Linked DNA regions of Tamandua tetradactyla. The protein of the gene in region 1 purifies or fractionates together with the protein of each later gene. This does not show direct contact. Links are inferred from orthologs where the notes say so. Each region holds a gene or a part of one and is shown on either strand. Other genes may lie near its edges.

What was found.
Region 2: the proteins of PRDX5 (region 1) and PRDX2 fractionate together in Homo sapiens (co-fractionation; 3 studies listed by BioGRID). This does not show direct contact. The link is inferred for Tamandua tetradactyla from reciprocal best matches to the Homo sapiens genes PRDX5 and PRDX2.

The regions. Positions count from the first base shown.
Region 1 is NC_135335.1:10,339,122-10,346,572, forward strand, and holds the start of PRDX5 (peroxiredoxin-5, mitochondrial), read right to left. Parts: upstream 3,032-7,451; 5' UTR 2,974-3,031; coding exon 2,812-2,973; intron 1,521-2,811; coding exon 1,386-1,520; intron 209-1,385; coding exon 77-208; intron 1-76. Other genes in the region: TRMT112 (multifunctional methyltransferase subunit TRM112-like protein), read left to right, coding at 3,676-3,753, 3,846-3,947, 4,086-4,175, 4,263-4,364; ESRRA (steroid hormone receptor ERR1), read right to left, coding at 5,269-5,528, 5,836-6,105, 6,201-6,368, 6,788-6,916, 7,074-7,190. UniProt on the Homo sapiens protein: Thiol-specific peroxidase that catalyzes the reduction of hydrogen peroxide and organic hydroperoxides to water and alcohols, respectively.
Region 2 is NC_135337.1:89,828,796-89,835,854, reverse strand, and holds PRDX2 (peroxiredoxin-2), read right to left. Parts: upstream 3,089-7,059; 5' UTR 2,957-3,088; intron 2,478-2,956; 5' UTR 2,469-2,477; coding exon 2,366-2,468; intron 2,279-2,365; coding exon 2,125-2,278; intron 1,534-2,124; coding exon 1,411-1,533; intron 1,261-1,410; coding exon 1,130-1,260; intron 566-1,129; coding exon 480-565; 3' UTR 266-479; downstream 1-265. Other genes in the region: ribonuclease H2 subunit A, read left to right, coding at 5,694-5,820, 6,026-6,097, 6,228-6,354, 6,479-6,566.

The DNA.
Region 1 (7,451 bases):
GGGAGACAGAAAATAAAGGTCACCAGAAAAATCTCCTGCTTGGGCCCTGAGCCCCTTCAGGACCCCTGCACCTTACCTTGCCATCCACGTTGTGGGCTCGCCCCCACTCGCCAGTCACAAAGACATCATTGACACTCAGACATGCCACCACTTGGATGCCCTTGGCCTTCATAGCCCCAGCCTGCTCCACAAACCCCGGCAGGTGCGTCTGGGGAGGAGAAACTAAGGGTCAACAAGGAATGATCTTCAGGCCCCCCTAACTTCCCTGCTTTGACTCCTTTAATCAACGAAAACTATGTAAACCAACCTATTTCCTTGTTTGCCTTGGCCACAAGGAAGCTCAGATCCAAACTTAAGGTTGTGGGGTCAGGACCACGGATTTTTTTTTCAATTTTTTAATTTAAAAAAATATATGTAACAACAAACAAATGCAAACGTTCTTAATTTATGATTATTCCATTCTACATATATAATCAGTAATTCACAATATCATCACATAGTTGCATATTCATCATCATGATCATTTCTTAGAACATCTGCATTAATTCAGAAAAAGAAATAAAAAGGCAACAGAAAAAAAATCATACATACCATACCCCTTACCCCTCCCTTTCACTGATCACTAGCATTTCAATCTAAATTTATTTTAACATTTGTTCCCCCTATTACTTATCTTTATTCCACATGTTTTTTACTCTTCTGTTGATAAGTTAGATAAACGGAGCATCAGATAAAGGTTTTCACAATCACACAGTCACATTGCGAAAGCTATATCATTATACAATCATCCTCAAGAAACATGGCTACTGGAACACAGCTCTACATTTTCAGGCAGGTTCCTCCAGCCTCTCTGTTACATCTTGGATAACAAGGTGATATCTACTTAATGCAAGAATAACCTCCAGGATAACCTCTCAACTCTGTTTGGAATCTCTCAGCCATTGACACTTTATTTTGTCTCATTTCACTCTTCCCCCTTTTGGTTGAGAAGATTTTCTCAGTCCCTTGATGCTGAGTTCCAGCTCATTCTGGGATTTCTGTGTCACGTTGCCAGGAAGGTCCACACCCCTGGGAGTCATAGAAACATGGATTATTTACCTGGATTATTTGCCTTTCAGAGTACCTGCCACTCAGCAGGGTCAACAAGGGGGTATTGAGCTTAATCACAATAATTCCTTTCTCCTACATTCCTTGTGGTTACCTTTCTGCAGCCTCCACTTACTTTCTGAACACTCTAAACATAGCTTTTTTTTACTCTCAGGCTACCTAGGTTCCTTGGTGGCAAGCCGCCTCAGGCCTTTGGAGGGATATGTGAAGGACTTAAAAGCAATGCAAACATTTTCAAAAGATCCAGATTCCTAATCTCAAGAAGGGCAGGGCCTCACCTTGGAGCAGCCCGGGGTAAATGCCCCGGGGACTCCAAACAGCACTCCCTTCTTGCCTCTGTACAGCTCCGCCAGGTTCACCTTGTTCCCAGGCTCCCCTTCAAACACCTCCACCGGTGGGATGGCATCGCCCACCTAGAGGGAAGGGCTCCAAGGTTAGGAGTTGAGAGGTGGGGGGAGGCCCAAGGAGGGACAGCAGCAAACCAGAGCCAGGAGGGAATGGGGGGAGGTCTGGTGGCTGTGCTTGGCAGAGCCCGGGGGGAAAAAAAGTCCAGCCCTGTCAGAGTTTCCAGAGGTCCCTCCCTGCTGCCCTCCCCTTCCCCCCGACTCTCACCCGCCTGGTTGCCCCATATCCTCCAGGGGTCAGTGAGGCCCTGTCCCCTCATAAGGATCCATTGGTGACACCAAAGAAAGGGAGAGAAGGCCTTGCACGGTGTCGCAAGGGATTGAGTCAACAAGTTGTAAGGGTTATGGGAGAAGAGTGGGGCCAAACCCGCAAGGGGAGGAGAAGCAGGGGGGAAGGGGGTTGTTGGGTTGGAAGGAATACTGGACAACAGGGAAAGCATGGATCCTGGCCAGCCATGGAGAAAAGGAAGGAAGGCAGGAGGGCAGTAACAAGGTGGGAAGGGGAAGATCCCGGCCCTATGCAAGGGGGGTAAAATGAAAGGAATCTCTTAAGGGGGAGGGATCAGTGCATCTGGGAATGTGAGAGGGCTCCATGGGGATGGAGGAGGTAAAGATAGGAGGAAGGGAGGCTGAGAGATGGAGGATCTCTCAGTAGGTTGGAGGATGGTGAAACAAGGCGAAGGGCCTCGGAAGGGTGTGGGAGGGGAAGAGGGGGTTGAGTTCCAAGGAGTGGGGGACAGCTCCAGAAGATGGGCGGGAGGAGAGACTCAACTGAAGTGTGGGGGATCGCCTCGGGAGGAGGAGGAGGGGAAATCGGAGTGGCATGGGGAGACAAAACGAGGGCTCAAAGGGCTGACAGCTGTTCCATACGATTAAGAGTGATCCAAGCAATATGACAAAAGGGAGGGGAGGGTGGCGCGGCGGGGTAAAGAGGGTTCTGGGGCAACGGAGATGGTTGGTTTCCAGAAGGTGGGAAAGGCCACGGCATTCAAACAGCGGAAAATGGCGGAGACCACAGCAGTGTCGCAGTCGACACGCAGCGGGAATCGAGGGGGGAGGGTCCAGAGCCCGGAGGCTGTTCCAGGAGATCCTGCACGAGGTCCCAAAACTTGGCGAGAGGGGGTGGCAGTCACGGGTGTCTCGATGAGGGGGTGAAGGGGCTGGACCGCGGGAGGGACCTCTGGGGCGGCGGAGAGGGCTCCGGAGGGCGGGAGAGAGGACCCCACCTTCCCCACCGGAGCGGGACGAGGGACGGCCTCGGGAAGATGGGGGGGTCAGGTCTGACGGGGCCGACGGTCACCTTAATCGGCGCCATGGCTGCGGCGGCGCTGCTGAAACCGCACGTGCACCCTCCTCCTCCTTCCAGGCGTAGGCCCGTTCCCACCGCTACCGCTCGGGTAAACTCGACGGCGGTCGCCCGAGGGAGCGCGGAGTTCGCGCGGCGCCCCACAAGGCGCAGCATACGCAGCCACTCGCCGGGCGCCACGGCCGCGACCGCCCCTTCGACCCCGGCGGGGGCGGAGCCGCGCCGGCCGCAGAAGGCGGAGCCTCGGCCGCGCCCGGCCCCCAGCGAAACGCCCTCACTGCGCAGGCGTGGACGGCCGCGCTGCGGGCCGGGCTTCCGGGATTCAGGGCTTGTTTGCATTAGGGGCTGGGTCGCTGATACCTTCTCCCCCTCTCAGTGGGCGTAGCTCGCGACGATCCTGCAGGTTCTTTGCAGACAAGGATGGGGTGCCGCTTTATTTTGAGGGGCCTCATTTATAGTTGGGGCAATAGCGCACCTCATTAGAAGGGGAGGGCTGGTGTCAGGAGCCCGTGCACAAGCAAAACGCATGTCTATCTGACATTTAACGAGGTTCCCTGCACTGCAGCTGTTTTACATATAATTTGCATCCCGATAGCGGGTGAAGGTTTGGCTTCAACCAAACCACTAGGCGGCGTGCGACATAACGATCTCCCGCGGAGCCGCTTCCGGGAGCAGCGCGTGACTGAACCAGGTCTTCCCTATGTCTCTGCTTGGCCGAGCACGAGCCCTGACAGCAGTTTCGCTGCTTCCGGTCTTTTGGCCGCCCGATAGGCTAGCTAGCGGCACCGTCCCGGAAGTGACGTTTTGGCGGGGCGGTATATTTCCGGTTCCTGCCTGGGTAGGACGTTTAGCCGCGACATGAAGCTGCTCACTCACAACCTGCTAAGCTCTCACGTGCGGGGGGTGGGGCCCCGTGGCTTCCCCCTGCGTCTCCAGGTACCGATCCGCGCAGACCCACGCCCCTCTCCCGGGTGAGCTGCGGATATCAGAGTCCGATCCCCTTTCTAACTAATCTCTTCCCACTGCAGGCCACCGAGGTCCGCATCAACCCGGTGGAGTTCAACCCGGACTTCGTAGCGCGTATGATACCCAAGGTGGAGTGGGCAGCGCTTCTGGAGGCGGCCGATACTGTGAGGACCCTCCCCCCACCCCGCCTGTGCCTAGCGGGGGAGGTGGTCTCACCGCACCCTCTCACACCCGGCCCGGGAGCTCGGCCTGATGGGGAGGGTCGGGGATGGCCGGAGATGATTTAGGCTTCTTGCCCACAGTTGCATCTGGTCGAGGTGCCCAAGGGACCAGTTGAGGGGTATGAGCGAGATGAGACATTTTTGAGGAAGATGCACCACGTGTTGCTAGAGGTGAGAACCGGCTCACACTTTGCTTTCCCGGCCATGCCACCCCTCCCTTAGGGCCCAGGTGTTCAGCTGTTTTCCCTCTGCCCACAGGTGGATGTGTTGGAGGGCACTCTGCAATGCCCAGAATCTGGACGTCTGTTCCCCATCAGTCGCGGGATCCCCAACATGCTGCTGAGTGAGGAGGAAACCTAGACCTAGCCATGCCAGGCACGGACCAGCTGATCATTCTGTGACATTCTTTATGTCTGTACATTGTTAACTGTCATGTTCATGTCCAGCCCTCGACCCAATGACACACTGAACACACTGTGTTCTTGAGCTTGATATTATATATATTTTTTCTCATTAAAGGTTCAAAACCAAAAGCGGTTTCTCTTTGCAGCAAATATACATTAAAATAGAGTCTCTGTACAGCCAAGGGCACTGGGCCCTGGCTTGCCCCATGTCCCTGCGCCTCCCTGGCCAAACCCAAAAATAAATATAGTGTTATTGCTCTGCAGGGCATCGAGGCAGTGCTCTCCCTCCCCCTGAGGAGGCTGGGTGGGAGCTGATGGGGGACCCTGGCCACCCTAGGGGGTCCAGGGGCTGGAGCCTGCTTGGAGTTATTGCTTCAAGGGGGGTGGGCAACAGTGCCCAACGCAAATGATGAGGAGAGGAGCGAAGGGGGCAGGGGCCTTTGCTCTCCAAGTCCCACTCTGCTCTGTAGAGGGGGTTGGATTAAGTAGCAGCAAAAGCATCACCCACTGGGAGACTGTGGCCTCCACCCCCTTCCCTCCCTGAGATCAGGCTTCTGCCCCCCACAATTCCCCTGCACCCCCTATGGCTTCCGCAAGGCCCCCGACAGTCTGGGGGCACATTATGGCTTGCAAGGGGCAGCACTGTGCCCAGAGCCCGGGCACACACATCCCCAGCTTCTGACGCCCCCTGGGAGTGGGGAGGGGAGGGCGTGGGGCCTGCTCCCAGGGGCTGATGGCATTGCCCTGGCCCTGCCAGCAGGCTGTGGCACTGCCCAGACCCCAGCTCTGCCCCCTTGGGGTTGAACCCATGCTGGGCGGGTCCTGCCAGCACCCCCACCCACCCACACCCTCCCCCTGCCTCAGTCCATCATGGCCTCGAGCATCTCCAAGAACAGCTTGTGCATGGGCACCTTGCCCTCCAGCTTCACCCCATAGAAATGGGCCAGCACTTTGCCCGCGGTCTGGCGAAGGAGCGGTAGGGTGAGCAGCAGTCTGCCTGCCCGTCGCCGCTCAGCACCCCCTCCAGGGCCTGCCCGGCCAGCTTCATACTCCAGCAGGGCCTCATGCAGGGCTTCTCGCAGCTGCTCCACAGCCTCAGCGTCCTCGATGTGCACAGAGTCTGTAAGCAGAGGGGAGAGAACTGTTGACTTGCACCATCTCCAGAAAGAGCAGGGGCCATCTGTCCTCACCTATAGCTGCCTCCAGTCCTCCCCACTTCACCTCCCACTAAACTGTACTCCCTTCCAAGTGAGCACAGTACTAAGGCTCAGATTCTTGGCCTTGCCCTTGGCTTACTTCGTGACCTTCAGGAAGTCACTGTTCCCTGAGCTGCAGTTTCCTTTATCTGCAGAACGGGCTGTGCTATCAGAGTTAAAGACCAGAGGGCCCAATGGAGAGACCTATCAGTGCCTGCTCCAGACTCTCACCCGAGTTGGCCAGGGCCAGGGCCTTCAGCAGAACGTATTCCTCCCGCTCGAGCCTCAGGGCCTGTAGCCGCCGCACCAGTTGCAGGAGGGCAGCCCCCAGCTCCCCCAGGCCAGCTGCCCGTGCTCCCTCTTCATCCAGGACCAAGTCCTCCGCGAAGGCCAGCTCATCCTGCAGCGGCAGCGAGCGCTGGGCCACGCCCAGCACCAGCACCTCCATCCACACGCTCTGCAGTACTGACATCTGGTCGGACAGCGACAGAGACGAAAAGCCTGGAGGGTGGGGGTGGGCAGCCAGGCTGAGCAAGCGTGCCTGGGGCCAAGCATGGCCTGCACAGGGGAGCCCTCAGACCACCTGAGCTCTTTACCTGGGATGCTCTTGGCCCAGCTGATGGTGACCACAATCTCTCGATCGAAGAGGTCACAGAGGGTAGCCACAGCTGGGAGGTGTCCGTCAGGACCCACTGGGTCGGGCATGGCATACAACTTCTCGGGCTCAACCACCAGCAAGTGAGACACCAGTGCATTCACTGGGGCTGCAGTGACAAGTCGGAGGACGAGGGTCAGGGGCACTCAAATTCATCAGACATCACAGTCCCTTCAGAGTCAAGCCTCTTGTTCATTCTCCTAGTGGCCTTCCCTGATAGCCGTTGGGCAGCCTGGCTCAAATCCATCCCCCAAAGGCAAGGCTCTCACTACTTCCCAGGGAAAGGCTGGGGACTGGCTCTATGAGTATTAGAAAACCCTTCCCAGTTCCCTCCTATGTTTCTCTGTGCCTGAGGCAGGAAAGGCCTTTAAATAAATATTTCTTGGAGAAATGAATAAATGAATGAAGGCGAAATGTGGGTCCTAGGGCCCAAGGTAATAACTCTCCTGGGTAGATGATGCCAGACAGGCTTCTCATGCCCCAGCCCGATCCTAACCCTAGAGCTCCAGGTACCCACAGCGCTCTCACCTGTCTTCCGGGGACCCCCAGCTACTGCCAGTGGTCCAGCAGGGAAGGGACCCGGGAAAGGCAGCGGGTCCACCTCTGGTCGCCGCTTGTACTTCTGTCGTCCGCCCCGCACACGGTCCAGACGCACCCCTAAAGTGTAAAATGGGACCGTGTCTGTAGGGTGGCTCTGCAGAGCCCTCCTCCTTAGTCCCTTGGCCACCAGCCCTTCCTAAGCCTTGCCCAGCAAGGGCCCTGCAAGCCCAGCTCCCCCCAAGCCTGGCCCAGGCCCCCCCTGCCCCGTGCTCACCCTCCTTGAGCATGCCTACGCGCAGGCACTTGGTGAAGCGGCAGGCCTGGCAGGCCTTGCGTCTCCGCTTGGTGATCTCGCACTCATTGGAGGCCGGACAGCTGTACTCGATGCTCCCTGCCAGGAAGAGGCAGGGCTCCAGTGGCGGCCTCCCAAGGCCTGGAGGGGGCCCAGCTGACAGGAGAGCCCTGACTCGCCCCGGCCAAGCACAGGTCTGGGGGGTATGGGGAGGAAAGGGAGAGCAGGAGTGCTGTGAGTGGGGCGGGGAAGTCCGGGGAGCGAGGGGAAGGGCCGCTGTGCTGGGGTGGGGGGGTCCTGCCTGGGCAAGGGAGGATCTGGGACCTAGGGAGTCAGCTGGCACTTCTGCCGCAAGCCGCG
Region 2 (7,059 bases), on another chromosome or scaffold:
GGCCATGCTCTGTCCTGCCTGGCCAGGATTCAGCATGTCACACAGCCTGGGATTGCTCCCTGCAAGGGGCAAACACCCCAGTTCCCCCAGTCCCCCCTCCTGCCAAGGAAGAACAAGTAGAGGGAGCATGAAGTAAGGCTGCCACCTTGTGGTGGCGGTAAATAACTACAGGATCAGTTTCCCAGACAGGAGGCCTGAGACACCACTTGGTGGGGGTGGGGCAGGGGGAGGGGAAGACAGACTAACACACCCAGACACACTCACATCTGTCCCTAACACTTTATTGGTTCCCCCCAAGCCTGTGCCCAGCTGAGTGGGATCTGGGCAGAGGGGATTTCTCAGGTCCCAGGTGGGGGCATCAGAAGAACCTTGGGGCCCCAAACCGGGAAGCTACAGGGGTCTTTCCTAGGGTCAGCACTGGGCACCCAGGCAGCGGCGTGGCTGAGGGCAGAGGGCCCAAGCTTCACCCGCCTGCTGGCCTAGTTGTGCTTGGCGAAGTATTCCTTGCTGTCATCCACGTTGGGCTTGATTGTGTCGCTGCCCGGCTTCCAGCCCGCGGGACAGACTGTGGAAGACATGAGAACTGATGTGTGAGCCTACAGCCCCATTTTCCAGGTAGAGGCAGGGGGGAGGGAGGAACAGATACAAAGCAAGGGCCTGAGTTGCAGTAGAAAAACCTAAGAACCAATTGGTCCAGGCTCAAAAAGAGAAGCCCCATCCCATCACCCTCCAAGCACCTGTTTATCCTCACAGGCCCAGCTGCAGTATCTTCTGCCTCATCATTTTCCTTCTCTTATTCTCACTTGCTTTTTGGTGTTTTCAACCCCATGTCTCACCCTCAGCCCCAGTGCTACTGGACTTGAGCATCTACATTCAGACTCTTTAACCAGGATCCAACTAACATACCCCAAGCCTAATGTGCTATATGCAACCTCGAATACCTTCTATGGTTCCCTATGACCTCCCAGCTGCGCACCCTTACAAGGAGGCATCTCCTCCACCAGACTAGAAACTCCTTGAGCTGAACCTTCTTTGGGGGCCCTAACATGCCCCTACCCCTGCTCAGGTGATAGGGCAGGCAGTGATTGTTTGCAAGAGCCACTGAGAGGCTCTCTGTGTGTCCACTCACCTTCGCCATGCTCATCCGTGTACTGGAAGGCCTGGACTAGGCGTAGGGCCTCTTCCACGGAGCGTCCCACGGGCAAGTCATTCACTGTGATCTGACGAAGGATTCCCTTGCCATCGATGATAAACAGGCCCCTGAAGACATCAGGGTTCAGTAGTGAGGAGCTGGGACACTCCCTGTGGCCAGGAGCTGGAGGGAGCATGGACCACCTCCAGCCACAGAGCTGGGGATAGAGGGGAAATGGGAAGGGGGCTCCCTGAGGGTGGGGGAGGGTCCCTCAGTACCTGTAAGCAATGCCCTCATCTTCCTTCAACACCCCATAATCATGGGACAGGCTTCTGGTCACGTCAGCCAGCAGGGGGATGTTCAGCGGGCCCAAGCCTCCCTCTTTCCGCGGGGTGTTGATCCTGGGGGTGGGGGAGACAGGGCTGGGGCCTCAGGAGGTCCCACACAGTGAGATCCTTACCCTTTGCGCCTGGGTGATAAGGGCTGGAGTGGGATGCTGGAGGCAGGAGATATTGGGGCCCTGGGAGTACCACCCACCCCACCCTGAACTGGGTGCAGGAGCTGTTTCCCACAGCTGGGAAGACTAAAGCCCCTGCACTCATGTGCAGGCTTATGCTCCAGCAAATCCTCTTTAGGCATCCTCATGGCCTCCAGCCTGAGGCAGGGATCCTGCCATCACATCTCCATCCTCCTTCCCTTCCTGGAACTGGACTTTCCACCTTCAAGTACTAAGGCAATCCCGCCTTCCTCCCAGGGACTATAGGGAAAAAAAGCATGTGCAACTCCCAAGCCAAGCAGCTCGTTTCCACATGCTCATTGCTGTCAGCAATCCTTAATGACCAGGGTGTTTTCCATGGAAATAATTTCCGTGATTCTCAAGGTGGTGAAAGGGAGGGTAAGAGGTTGAGCAACGGCGAGGCCAGCACGGACGACGCTAGGATGGGAACCTAGTTGCGCCCCACCCTCCCCCTCCCCCCAGTCCCGGCTCCTACCAAGCTAGGTGGGTGAACTGGGAATCGACAGAGGCTCCTAGCACCTCGCAGCCCAGCTTGCGGAAGTCCCCGGCACGCTCGCTGAAAGCGATGATTTCGGTGGGACAAACGAAGGTGAAGTCCAAGGGGTAGAAGAAAAGGACCACGTACTTCCCTGGGTTGGGGGTGGGAGTGGAGAGGTCGCGCGTTAAGGCCCAGGCCTCCTTCTGCCCGGGCCCCACCCGCACCTGGGGTCCCTCACCTCTGTAGTCCGAAAGCTTCACCTCCTGGAAGGCGCCGTCCACCACGGCCGTGGCGTGGAAATCCGGGGCGGGCTTCCCGATGTGCGCGTGGCCGGAGGCCATGGCTGAAAGCTGAGACCCCCACGCCCCACCCCCAGCCGGGTCAGCGCGCCCCGGAGGCCCCTTTGTCCTCCTTTCCCAAGGTCACACTGCGTGCGGACCGCGGAGACCGAGCGAGAGCGGCGCAGCCGGCAGCGGTGACCCCCTCCCTCCCCGGTACCGGGTATTGCGCGGCCCCGAGGCTGCTGGGGACCCGGCCCCCTTGACCGCGGCACGTGCGGCCTGGCCGCTACCGCCGGGTCCCCAGTTCGCGCGTCGGAGGGAGCGCGGTGGCTGCGGGGTCCCCACCCAGTGCCGGGAGGAGACGGCAAGGGCCCCCGCGAGCAGGGGGCGGGGACTCCGGCCGCCCGGCCTCGGTTTCCCCTGCAAGGACAAAGGCGGCCGCTGCAGAGGGCGGAAAACAAAGGGCGGCCAGCGATCGGTCCGGATTCCGGCGGGGGCGGCTGGGAAGGGGCTCCTTCCCGAGCCCGGTGCACCCGGGGTGGCGGTACCTGCGTGGACACGGGCGGGACGCACGGACGCAGCAGAAGCGCGGCCTCGGATTTCTCAGCCCCAAGTGCGCGCAGGGCTGCCAGGCCTTTTATGCCCGGCCGGAACCATGACGCGCGCGGGGGGGGTGAAGATGAGCTGAGCCGCCGCGTCCACTGCGCCGGTTTCGGTGGGGGGTGGAGAGCGAGCGGGTGGCCGGGTCCATATGCCCGCGAGCGGCAGGGGGTGGTGGTGGTGGTGGAGGGGAGACATGCAGCCTCCGGGCCCGACCACTGTGCGGATCCGCGGGGGTAGCGCGGGCACGGCGCGGGGCTCCAGCCCCGAGCGCGCCGCGGGCGGTTGGAGCTCGGCATGGCCCGAAGGCGGGCGGCGCTGCTGCTGCTACTGCTGCCCCTGGCGCTCCAGCTGCTGGCAACCCCCTCCGAGGGCTCCCCGGACTACCAGTACTTTGGCGAGCAAGGCGAAGGCGACATCTGGGAGCAGCTGCGGCAGCAGCAGCAGGAAAAAGGTAACCGCAGGGCGGCCGGGGTGAGGGCGCCTAGAGGTGCCCCCCTCACCCCTGCTTTCCCCGGGACGGCAGATCCCGGCTGGGCTCACCACACTGGTTGCGTCTGATTGGGCTGGTTACTTCTCTCTGAGGCTGTTTTTCCATCTGTCAATTGGAAAGGAGATTGCCTTTTAAGCGGCTCATAGCTGGAGAGGGGGCGTGGGCCGGCAATAAAAGCAGATGCACGTGAATTTGTTGTGGGTAAAAGAGCTAGGAGGGCGGGGATGGAGAAAGAAGCTGGAGATCAGCTTGAAAAGTCAGAAGAGGTCCCGGTGGAGGAGATAGAAATCCATTATGAAGCCAAGGCCAAAGATGCAAAGATGCCTTGGGAGGGTGAGTGGGGAAAGAATGGTATGCCAGGGAGAGGGACCCAAAAATGCAAAAGCCAAAAGGCCCAAAAGAGGGCAGGGAAAGGAAAAGGGCTAGGGTGGCAGAGACCTAGAGAAGAAGAGATGGTAGGGAACAAATGAGGTGTCAAGGCCCTGTGAGCAGGCCGTGGGTTTAAGACTGGTGACAGGTTTCTATCTGGTAAGTCCATAAGAAGTGGCAGCTGCTTTAAAAGAATCATAATTGTTTTTGTTCTGTGTGCTAGAACAGCGCCAGAGGCTTTAAGTATCCTCATTCTGTCATTTGATTATGTCATTTAATTTACCATCTGACAGCCCTGCTGGTCTGGTGGCATGGTGCCTGCTGGACAGGTGTCCCAATAGCCAGCACTGAGGGTCTTCTACCACACTCCCAACGGGGCAAGCTGGCACAGGTCGGAAGTGTCAGTTTGCAGTCCCCCTGGGCCGCTCAGCAGATGGGTGAGCTCAGAAGGGTGACTTGCCCTCTCTAGGTCTCAGTTTCCCCACCTGGGACTAGTGGCCATCCCTCTCCATCAGGATTGCTGGGAAGATTGAGAGGAACTGGTCAGAGGCAGAGCCCCAGGAACAGATATGAGCTGGGGTTATTTGTTAGTATCTTTTTTGCCTCCGCCCCAGAGGAGGGTAGAGGCAGGTAGGTCCTCCCCCCCCCCGCCCCACCCCCAAACACAAACCTGGGTCTTTTTCTCGGCCCTTTCCCCCAGACCTGGAAGACTCGATCCTGAGCCCGTGGGGAAAGTGGCGCTGTGTCTGCGACCTGGGGAAGCAGGAGCGCAGCCGGGAGGTGGTGGGCACGGCGCCAGGCCCAGTGTTCATGGACCGAGAGAACCTGGTGCAGGTGCGGCCTTGCCGGCAACGGGACTGTCCATCTTGCCAGCAGGACCAGTGCCATTGGAGGCCCTGAGGCCGGGTGAGAGAAGGGCGTGGAGAGGACAGGCCAGGAGGGGACTGTCAAGTCCAGGGGCATTAGGTTCAGGGGTGAGGATTGGGGATCCACAGACAGAAGGCGTGCACCCCACTGACACCTGGGGAGAAGGGAAGACAGTCAATGGGGGCGAGGACGGGGGAACCAGGACCCTGAGGTTCAGGGGCGGTGGCCTAGGGTCCAAGGCTCTGAGCCCCGCTGAGACGCGGGGGGTGAAGGAGAAACCCGATTTGGGGTTATCAGCCTGCAGCAGGCGGGCGTCGACCTTGAGCCAGGATTGGTAATTGGGGTCTGGGATCCTAATTTGGGGGTCCGGGAGGCTTAGCCCAAACGAGAGGGTAGGGGGGCAGGGACTGTGGGGGAGGAGGGTGGATCCGAGTGAGCGACTGAGAGAGGAAGGGTAAGGGCCACAATTCGAAGGCCTGAGCCCAGGAAGGGGCAGCGATACCTAGTCCAGGGGGCTTGGGCTGGGCCGAGGGCGGGGCGTCAGGGACCCGGAGTCCAGGTAGGAGACAGGAACACAGTGAATGTGGAGTGACCCTTTGTTCTGGAAGCTAGTGGTATCTGGTCTTGTAGGCTCCGAAAGGGCCGGGTCTTTTCATGTCCCCGCCTCAGTTTCCTTCTCCTGGCACCAGACCCCGCCGTCCGGGCTTCGGAGTCCCCGGGGCGGGGCTTGGAAAGTGGCCCCGCCCATCCCGCGTCTCAACCTGAGTGTTCCGCGGTCGGCCTCAGAAACTACAATTCCCAGGAAGCCACGTGGCGGCGACGGCGTCTGCTGGACGGCGTCGGGGGCGTGTCCTGCGCGCTGATTGGTCGGGAGCGAGCGCGCCAGAAGAGCGCCGAGAGCTGCGCGGACACGCCCTCTTCCCGCCGCTGGAGGCTGTGGCCCAGGCGGCGGCGGTATGGATCTCAGTGAGCTGGAGAGAGACAATACGGGCCGCTGTCGCGTGAGCTCGCCGGTGCCCGCAGTGTGCCGCAAGGAGCCCTGCGCCCTGGGCGTCGATGAAGCAGGCCGGGGCCCCGTGCTGGGTGCGCCCCCGGGGCCCGGGGGTGGGGGAGGGGCGCGATAATGGGGTGCGCTTCGCCCATGACCCAGGAGGGCCGGTGATGGCGATGATGATGGCGGCCGTGACATGAACCGGTGGGCGAAAAGAGCGGTGATGGAACAGGGATGAGCGCTTTGAGGAGCTCACTGCTTGGATTCGCCCAGAAATCTGACCCCCTTCCTCTCCAGGCCCCATGGTCTACGCCATCTGTTATTGCCCCGTGTCCCGTCTGGCAGATCTGGAGGCCCTGAAAGTGGCAGGTGAGTCTGGGGTGGTGGGGGGCGGGGATCGGGCGGTTCCGGGGCGTGTGGAAACTGGTGGAGGAGGAGGAGGAAGAGGGCAGGAACCTGGAGAACCAGCGCCCTCCTTCTCTCCCAATCCTCCTCCCAGACTCAAAGACCCTGTCGGAGAGCGAGCGGGACAGGCTGTTTGCGAAAATAGAGGAGGACGGGGACTTTGTGGGCTGGGCACTGGATGTACTGTCTCCAAACCTCATCTCTACCAGCATGCTCGGGCGGTGAGGGGTCCCCTGGGAGGGGCGGGATGGAGGGGCAGCCAACGCCCTGAGGGAGGCAGAGAGCACTTGCTCACTGGGCCCTTTGGCTGGAAAGGGGTTAACCAGGCTGTGTCCCCTACCTCAGGGTCAAGTACAACCTGAACTCCCTGTCCCACGATGCAGCCGCCGGGCTGGTGCAGTACGCCTTGGACCAGGGTGTGAAAGTCTCCCAGGTGAATCTGCTGACAGGTATCAATCAGAACTACTCTGATACCTGGATTGCTCCCACCTCAGGATAAAATGGGGGTAAAAAACGCAGATTGAGCATTAGATGCATTACAAGTGCCTCATGAATGTCTGAATGTTTGCTGTTGACATCCTCTCCTGTCCCTGCTCCAAACTGCAGGCTTCACTGAGAACTACCTTGGAGCCCCCAGCCCCTCACTCTCCCATCTAACCTACCCTCCAATCCTAAATGCTCAGTGTCCAGAACAAATCTCATCTCTGCCTACTTGTCCTCAGCCTCTGTCCTCGCTCAGGACTTCCCCCTTGCTGGGATGCCTGTCCTGGCCTCCTCCATGGCCCCTCTACCACCAGTGTTACTTCCCTTTGGTCTGAGCCCCACCCAGCAGACGCAGTCATCTCTGTAATATGTAAATTTCAACATTTCCTAATAATAGTGGAAATTAAATTTGGAAAACTCACAATTTAAGTGGGAAAGGTGAG